Regions from separate parts of the Mus musculus genome. Here region 2 is reported to be linked to region 1. The links are microRNA targets in miRTarBase. Many come from high-throughput screens and were not tested one by one. Region 1 holds a microRNA gene; the other region holds the end of a gene's coding sequence.

Region 1 (4,423 bases):
ATCCCTCTACTTTATAATCAGCAAAATTCTAAGACATATATCATTCAAATGGATCAATGAGTGTCATTCTTATGTGTGTGAGTGTGCATGCCTGTGTGTGTGAATACATTTTATATGTGTGTGTATTTATATGTATGATCATATACACACATGTACGTGCACACACAATTATATGCACTTTTGCATACCTAGGATCCATCACACAAATACAGGGTGATCTCTAACTCATTATGAAGTTAAGCATGAATTTGAACTCCTGAGACTCCTAACTCTGGCAAGTGGTTTTCATTTGATAAGTGAGATTTTTCCCTATACCATGAATATACACTCAATGAAACTCAAAGCACGCATAAATCAAATGGATGACTGCCATGTGTGTTTGTGTGCACATGTATGTGTCCCTAGTTGTGTGTGTGTGTGTGTATACATATATACATATATATACATATATATATATGCATGTTCATATACGCGCATGTACAGGCATACTTCCCTATACACATAAACACAAACACAGGGAAAATCACATGAATTCCGGGCTGATCTCTAACTCATCATAAAGTTAAACATGAATTTGAACTACTCATCCTCATGATGCTGGCAAGAGTATTCACCTCCTAACTGAGTCATAGCTCGGGCCATTCGTGGGAATATGTTTGCATGTGAGTATATGCATATTCATATACAGAAGTGAATATATACACAACTATACACACATGCACATTCTTGGTGGGCATCACATGAATCGCATACTGAACTCTAACTCATCATGAAGTTAAACATAAATTTGAATTCCTCATCCTCCTGACACTGGCAAGAGTACTCACCTCCTAACTGAGACATAGCTCTGGCCATTCCTATGAATGTGTGTGCATGTGTGTATATGCATATTCATATAGAGAAGTGAATATGCACACAACTATACACACATGCAAATTTTTGATGGGCATAAGATGAATCCCATGCTGGTCATGAACTCATCATGAAATTCAGCACAAATTTGAACTCCTGATCCACCTGACTCTGTCAAGGGATTTCACCTGCTGAGTGAGACCTCTCCCCATTCAGTACTGAGGAATCTTAAAACTCTAAGTCACACGTCATTCAAATGGATCGATGAGTTGCACTGATGTTTGTGTGTGTGTTTCTGTTTGTGTCTGTGTACATGTATATATTTGTGTAGATAGGTACATCCATATACTCAAATCCACACACAATAGAAACAGATACAGATAGGGATACATAGGGGCATCACATGAATCCCAGGCATATCTTAAAGTCATCATGAAGTAAAGCATGAATTTGAACTCCTGATCCACAATCTTTCACACCTGGTGAGTAAAACCATTCACTGTCCCAAACTGCATAATCTAAAACTTTAAGTCACATATCATTCAAACGTATAAATGAATGCAATTTTTTTCTCTGTGTCTGTACTTGCATATACACGTGTGTTTATATTTTGTATATCATGTCAACAGAGGCAATGCATATACAAGTAAACACACATGCACATACATGGGTGGCCTCACATGAATACCAGGATGATCTCTAACTGAATTAAGCATGAATTTGCAATCCTTATCCTCCTGACTTTGTCAATCTTTTACACCTGGTGGGTGAGACCATTCAATGTCCCCTATTGCATAATCGCTAAAACTCTACATCACTTATCATTCAAAGGGATTGGCGAATGCCATTCCTGTGTCTGTGTATGTGTGCTTGCGTTTATACGTGTGTGTGTATGTTATGTATATTCAAATATAGACATGAACATGCACACACAACTATACACACATGCACATACATGGAGGAATCACAGGCTGATCTCTCATGAGGATAAGTATGAATTTGAACTCCTGATACCCTTAACTCTAGCAAGCATTTTCACTCTAAGTCACTTATCACTCAAATGGATTGATGAGTGCCATTCCCATGTGTCTGTGTGCTCATATGTGTCTTATGTGTGCGTGTATGTATATGTATATCATATTCACATATGTACATGTACACACACATCAACACATACACACATACATAGGGGCAATCACATGAATGCCAGGATGACCTCTAACACATCATGCCTTTACCATGAACTTGCACTCCTGATCTTCCCGACTCTACCAAGGGTTTCCCGTGGTTTGTGAGACCTCACCCTGGCCCAGTCATACATAACCTCCAAAGCAGTAGGTCACATATCATTCAAATGGATCCGTGAGTGCCATTCCCGCATGTCTGTGTGCATGTGTGTGTAGGTGTGTGTATGTATATGCATAAAATATACACGCATATACATGCAGGCACTTACGCACACAGGCACATACATAGGGGCCATCACATTATTCCAGGATGATCTCTAACTGCTCATGAAGTTAAGCATAAAATTGAACTCCTGATCTTCCTGACACTGCCAATTGTTTACACCTGGTGAGAGAGAATATTCACTGTCCCTCTACTTTATAATCAGCAAAATTCTAAGACATATATCATTCAAATGGATCAATGAGTGTCATTCTTATGTGTGTGAGTGTGCATGCCTGTATGTGTGAATACATTTGTATGTGTGTGTATTTACAGGGATGATCATATATACACATGTACGTGCACACACAATTATATGCAAATGTACATAACTAGGGTCGATCCCACAAATCCAGGGTGATCTCTAACTCATCATGAAGTTAAGCATGAATTTGACCTCCTGAGACTCCTAACTCTGGCAAACAGTTTTCATTTGATAAGTGAGATTTTTCCCTATACCATGAATATAAACTCAATGAAACTCTAAGCACGTATAAATCAAATGGATGACTGCCATGTGTGTTTGTGTGCACATGTATGTGTCCCTAGTTGTGTGTGTGTGTATATATATATATATGTATGTATATATATATATATATATATATATATATGCATGTTCATATACGTGCATGTACAGGCATACTTCCCTATACACATAAACACAAACACAGGGAAAATCTCATGAATTCCGGGCTGATCTCTAACTCATCAAAAAGTTAAACATGAATTTGAACTGCTCATCCTCATGATGCTGGCAAGAGTATTCACCTCCTAACTGAGTCATAGCTCGGGCCATTCGTGGGAGTATGTTTGCATGTGAGTATATGCATATTCATATACAAAAGTGAATATGTACACAACTATACACACATGCACATTCTTGGTGGACATCACATGAATCGCATGCTGAACTCTAACTCATCATGAAGTTAAACATGATTTTGAACTCCTCATCCTCCTGACACTGGCAAGAGTGCTCACCTCCTAACTGAGACATAGCTCTGGCCATTCCTATGAATGTGTGTGCATGTGTGTATATGCATATTCATATAGAGAAGTGAATATGCACACAACTATACACACATGCACATTTTTGGTGGGCATAAGATGAATCCCATGCTGGTCATGAACTCATCATGAAATTCAGCACGAATTTGAACTCCTGATCCAACTGACTCTGTCAAGGGATTTCACCTGCTGAGTGAGACCTCTCCCCATTCAGTACTGAGGAATCTTAAAACTCTAAGTCACACGTCATTCAAATGGATCGATGAGTTGCACTGATGTTTGTGTGTGTGTTTCTGTTTGTGTCTGTGTACATGTATATATTTGTGTAGATAGGTACATCCATATACTCAAATCCACACACAATAGAAACAGATACAGATAGGGATACATAGGGGGCATCACATGAATCCCAGGCATATCTCTAAGTCATCATGTAGTAAAGCATGCATTTGAACTCCTGATCCACAATCTTTCACACCTGGTGAGTAAAACCATTCACTGTCCCACTACTGCATAATCTTGAAAACTTTAAGTCACATATCATTCAAACGTATAAATGAATGCAATTTTTCCTGTGTGTGTGTGCTTGCAGATACACGTGTGTTTATGTTATGTATATCATGTCAACACATACAATGCACATACAAGTAAGCACACATGCACATAAATGGGTTGCATGACATTAATACCAAGATGTCTCCAAATGAAGTTAAGCATGAATTTGCAATCCTTATCCTCCTGACTTTGTCAATCTTTTACACCTGGTGAGTGAGGCCATTCAATGCCCCCTATTGCATAATCTCTAAAACTCTACATCACTTATCATTCAAAGGGATTGGCGAATGCCATTCCTGTGTCTGTGTATGTGTGCTTGCGTTTATACGTGTGTGTGTATGTTATGTATATTCAAATATAGACATGAACATGCACACACAACTATACACACATGCACATACATGGAGGAATCACAAGCTGATCTCTCATGAGGATAAGTATGAATTTGAACTCCTGATACTCTTAACTCTAGCAAGCATTTTCACTCTAAGTCACTTATCACTCAAATGGATTGATGAGTGCCATTCCCATGTGTCTGTGTGCTCATATGTGTCTTATG
Region 2 (4,423 bases), not on the chromosome of region 1:
ATGGAACTGAAAATCTGACGACATCTCTCATTAATAACACGTGTCATGACACAATTGATGAATTCCGAAATCAAGTATACTCCACTATGTATTCTGTGATCTCTGTTGTGGGTTTCTTTGGCAATAGCTTTGTGCTCTATGTCCTCATAAAAACATACCATGAGAAATCAGCCTTCCAAGTATACATGATTAATCTAGCCATAGCAGATCTACTCTGTGTATGTACATTGCCTCTCCGTGTGGTCTATTATGTTCACAAAGGCAAGTGGCTCTTTGGTGACTTTTTGTGCCGCCTCACCACCTATGCCTTGTACGTTAACCTCTATTGTAGCATCTTCTTTATGACAGCCATGAGCTTTTTCCGGTGTGTTGCAATTGTCTTTCCAGTCCAGAACATTAATTTGGTTACACAGAAAAAAGCCAGGTTCGTTTGCATTGGAATTTGGATTTTTGTGATTTTGACAAGTTCTCCCTTTTTAATGTACAAATCTTACCAAGATGAGAAAAACAATACTAAATGCTTTGAGCCTCCACAGAACAATCAAGCTAAAAAATACGTTTTGATCTTGCATTATGTGTCATTATTCTTTGGTTTCATCATCCCTTTTGTCACCATAATTGTCTGTTACACAATGATCATTCTGACCTTACTAAAAAATACAATGAAGAAAAACATGCCAAGTCGTAGGAAGGCTATAGGGATGATCATAGTTGTGACAGCTGCCTTTTTAGTGAGCTTCATGCCATATCATATTCAACGAACTATCCACCTTCACCTTTTACACAGTGAAACTAGACCCTGTGATTCTGTCCTTAGGATGCAGAAGTCAGTGGTCATAACCTTATCTCTAGCTGCATCAAATTGTTGCTTTGATCCTCTGCTATATTTCTTTTCAGGTGGAAACTTTAGGAGAAGGCTATCTACATTTAGAAAGCATTCTTTGTCCAGTATGACTTATGTACCCAAGAAGAAAGCTTCCTTGCCAGAAAAAGGAGAAGAAATATGTAACGAATAATTCAAACTCATCTACAGTGCAGAACAATGAAAAAGAAATTCCCTAACGAGTGTTTTTCTAAATCAAAATTAAAAAAAAATGTTTCCCATTAATAGTTTACAAATAATTATATCTATTTCATTTATAAATACTATTATTTGATATTTTAAGTGTTCAAAACTCAATTTATAACTGTGAACTAACCCATAGATTTCTTTTTGAAGACTCACCAGAAACTTAAGAATGTTTATGGTTCTGAACTATAAAACTGAGTATGAAATCAAGAATATAAAAGGGATTTAAAAGGCTACCTACTAGACTTTTGAGTTCAGCTTTTAAATATAGTTTTAAAATTAGCAAATAGTCATCAGTCACCCTAACATCTCCCTTTGCATGCATGCCATCAGATGAGACCTGGAGATGACTCGGGACGTACATTTGGTCAGCCGTTTCCTTTGTAGTACTGACTAGCTAGGTAAAGTAGTGCCCTGTCTTCCAGAAGAGAATGTTCAAGTACCAGAACAGACCAATATTCAGCCAAATAGCTCCACAGGCTGCATGAAATTTACAATATGGAAAAATAAGGAAGATAAATCTGATCAAAGGCCAGTTTGTCTCTAATTCTCTTCTGCCCTTGACTCAAGCACCGGCAAAAGAATGGTGTTCTTGCTCACAGTGGTTCAATCCCTATTCTACCTATAATCCTTCCTTAATAAGTAAGGCAACTGGCATTCCCATATATGACAGAAGAAGTCAAAATTCATCAGAAGTAAAGAAAATAGGCCTACCTTTCTACATGAGATTTGTTGGAATCAAAATTTACTATGTTAGATAGCAGAAGAAAATTTGAATATCCATGTCATTAATACTTTTAATAAGTATATGCATTTATATGTATGTATATAAATATATGTAATCTATCTTGTTCTATGATATGCATTTATTGTTAGTTAATTATGAGATTTATTGTTGTTTTATACTTATTTCTTTTTTATTAGCATGTTGAAAGTAATATTTGTTTACAGTGATTTTTATATTATAGCAGAAGCTTTGTTCTTAAACCAAACCATTGAAAACAGCTTGGTTGTGACTAAAATATGATATTCATTGACAAAGTTTTGCTGAAGGCCACTTTTTTCCTAACTATGAGTTTCAAAAGTCACATCAACTCAGAAGAAATAAATGATAGCAGAGATGGGAAAAAGAAAAACCATGAATGGAGTTGTGTCAGTATCAGCTACGTGAAAACTTTTTCTATTTCACTTCTGCTGGACCCCTTGGGAAATTGTGTTTAAAGCATAATAAAGAGAGGACTCTAAGGATGAAAAATAACTGGAACTTGTTGATTTCTGTTGAACATGTCTGAAAATTGGCAGTGTCTATATTACTCTCGTTCCTCTTGCTTGAAACAAATATCAAACATATTTGTCAAAAGACATCAGGTCTCATTTGCTACATTTCTGCTTTGTGGTGGGAGAGCATGGCACTGGAAGCCAAGATGTCTGCATGTGAACCTGATCTCTTTTAACCTGGTCTTTCTTAACTTAACAAAGTTAACATACTTTTGAGTGAAATTTGTAAGCCTAAAACCTTAACTTTCTCAGCTGTAAGATAAGAATGATACTTGTTATGCTTTCTTATGGCCATTTGAAGGACTCAAAGGTGGTTAGATATGCTAAAATTGTATCCTAAAATATATATAGTAAGATGCCACTTTAAAGTATTTATCCCTTCTCAGCCTTTTGGCTAAGATCAAGTGTAAAGTATTTATAGGAGAGTTGTTAAATATGCTAATTCATATTTATTGTATCCATTTTTAATTTTGAAAGAATTTGAACAAGACATTGACATAGTTAAATTCTAGTGCATATAATCATTTTGCTCATTTATTCCTATGTCCAAGCTTTTGTTTGTATTTGCTGTTCCACTCACATATGTACCTACGTGTACCATATAGATATGGCACAAAACTTCAGTCACCTGCAAACTCACAATGAATGTATTGTTCTTTCTTGAATTATGTCTTTATAGCCTATGCCATACAACTTACTTCTTACTACTTTCTCCAGTTTCTCCATGTGTATTAGTATTTTCTCCTAAAGGGAAGTGTTCTGTGTAGAATTATCAATTCCTTGAGGTTACAAATTACATCTCTACATGGGATTATATAACATTTATTGTGTGTGTGTGTGTGTGTGTGTGTGTGTGTGTGTGTGTGTAATTTTAATTTTAAAAGCTTTTTAAATGTTTTAAATATTTTACCTGTGTCAATTTATAAATACAAATGCCCTGCAGAGTACATATCATTACTATCCTCATTTTGCCAGCAAGCTACAGAACCAAGATTGAACTCTGGACATTCTGTTGCCAGAATTTACATTCTTAATTTGCTAGGTATCTGTGTCATCATTTTCAAGTACAAAGATTCCAGTATACATGATGGATAGTCCCTAAAGGTTTACTATACAAAATTATACCTTCCATTATCACTGTGCCTTTATTTTTTAATAGGACAGATATATTATGCTCTTGCGACAAGCAGATAAGAGATACTTGATTGACAAATGAGAGAGAGAAAGAGAGAGAGAGAGAGAGAGAGAGAGAGAGAGAGAGGGAGGATGGATTGATGATACATTAAAGTGTGTGCTTTTTAAAGAAAGATTTTTATTTTATTTTTTACTTATACATGTATATTTGTATGACTTTTTATTATTTCTTTTTTACTTATCCTCTCATGTATTATATCCCAACTCCAATTTCCCCTCCTTCACCTCCCTCCAGTTCTCCTCCTCCCCATCTGCCCTCTTCCCTAGATCCACTCTTCTTCCACTTCCCTTCAGAAAACAGCATGTCTCCCAGGGATCTCAACCAAACATACTATGACAAGTTACAATAAGACAGGCATAAACCCTCTTATCAACCAAGTAAGACAAAAAGCGTCCCAAGAACAGGCAAAAGAGTCAGAACATCCACACTCCCACTGTTAGGAGTCCCACAAAAAGACCAAGCTACACAACCACAATGTATTATGCAGAGCACCTAGCTCAGACCTATGCGGACTCACAATTGCTTCAAACCTCCTGATTACCATTCCTGGGTTTGTGAGACCCTATGTGCCCTGCTTAGTTGATTCTGTGGGCCATGTTCTCCCGGTATATGATGAGCATTACACACACCCATGATTTACTCCAAAGAATGCCATAAAAGTCACTTAAAATATTGAAATTAGGAAGAGCTTAATATTTGCAATTCCTAGAAGCAAAATAATAATAATCTATAACATTAACACTCTTACAGTCTTTACATATATCCCTTTGGTCACTAGCAGCCTTTTCAAATCTCATCAACTAGCCAGACTATTTCCTATTATACACTTAACTTTTTATTTCTTTCAGCATGTTTTGCTTGTGTATCCTTAAAATGCATTA

The links. Region 1 holds the annotated microRNA mmu-miR-669j (UGCAUAUACUCACAUGCAAACA, at 3,109-3,130, opposite strand). A microRNA usually pairs through its seed, bases 2 to 8, with sites in the 3' UTR of a target mRNA and lowers its output. Matches are read on the target gene's strand: a 7mer-m8 pairs with bases 2 to 8, a 7mer-A1 pairs with bases 2 to 7 and ends in A, and an 8mer does both.
Region 2: miRTarBase lists Cysltr1 as a target of mmu-miR-669j. Seed matches in the 3' UTR shown: 8mer at 1,875-1,882 and 7mer-A1 at 1,928-1,934.

What each region holds. Positions count from the first base shown.
Region 1 is chr2:10,476,696-10,481,118 of GRCm38, reverse strand. It overlaps Mir669j (microRNA 669j), which reads right to left and starts at 3,209; the gene lies at 3,089-3,209. The region is part of intron 10 of Sfmbt2 (Scm-like with four mbt domains 2); the gene reads right to left. Mir669a-1 (microRNA 669a-1) reads right to left here and starts at 4,266; the gene lies at 4,170-4,266. Mir669g (microRNA 669g) reads right to left here and starts at 3,969; the gene lies at 3,847-3,969. It also overlaps Mir467a-2, Mir466e, Mir669a-4 and Mir466b-8.
Region 2 is chrX:106,574,413-106,578,835 of GRCm38, reverse strand. It overlaps Cysltr1 (cysteinyl leukotriene receptor 1), which reads left to right. Exons shown (of 4, transcript NM_021476.5): 4 at 1-2,327. The coding sequence ends at 1,016. Among named protein-coding and RNA genes, the nearest start is that of Gm5127, 6.6 kb to the left of the region's middle.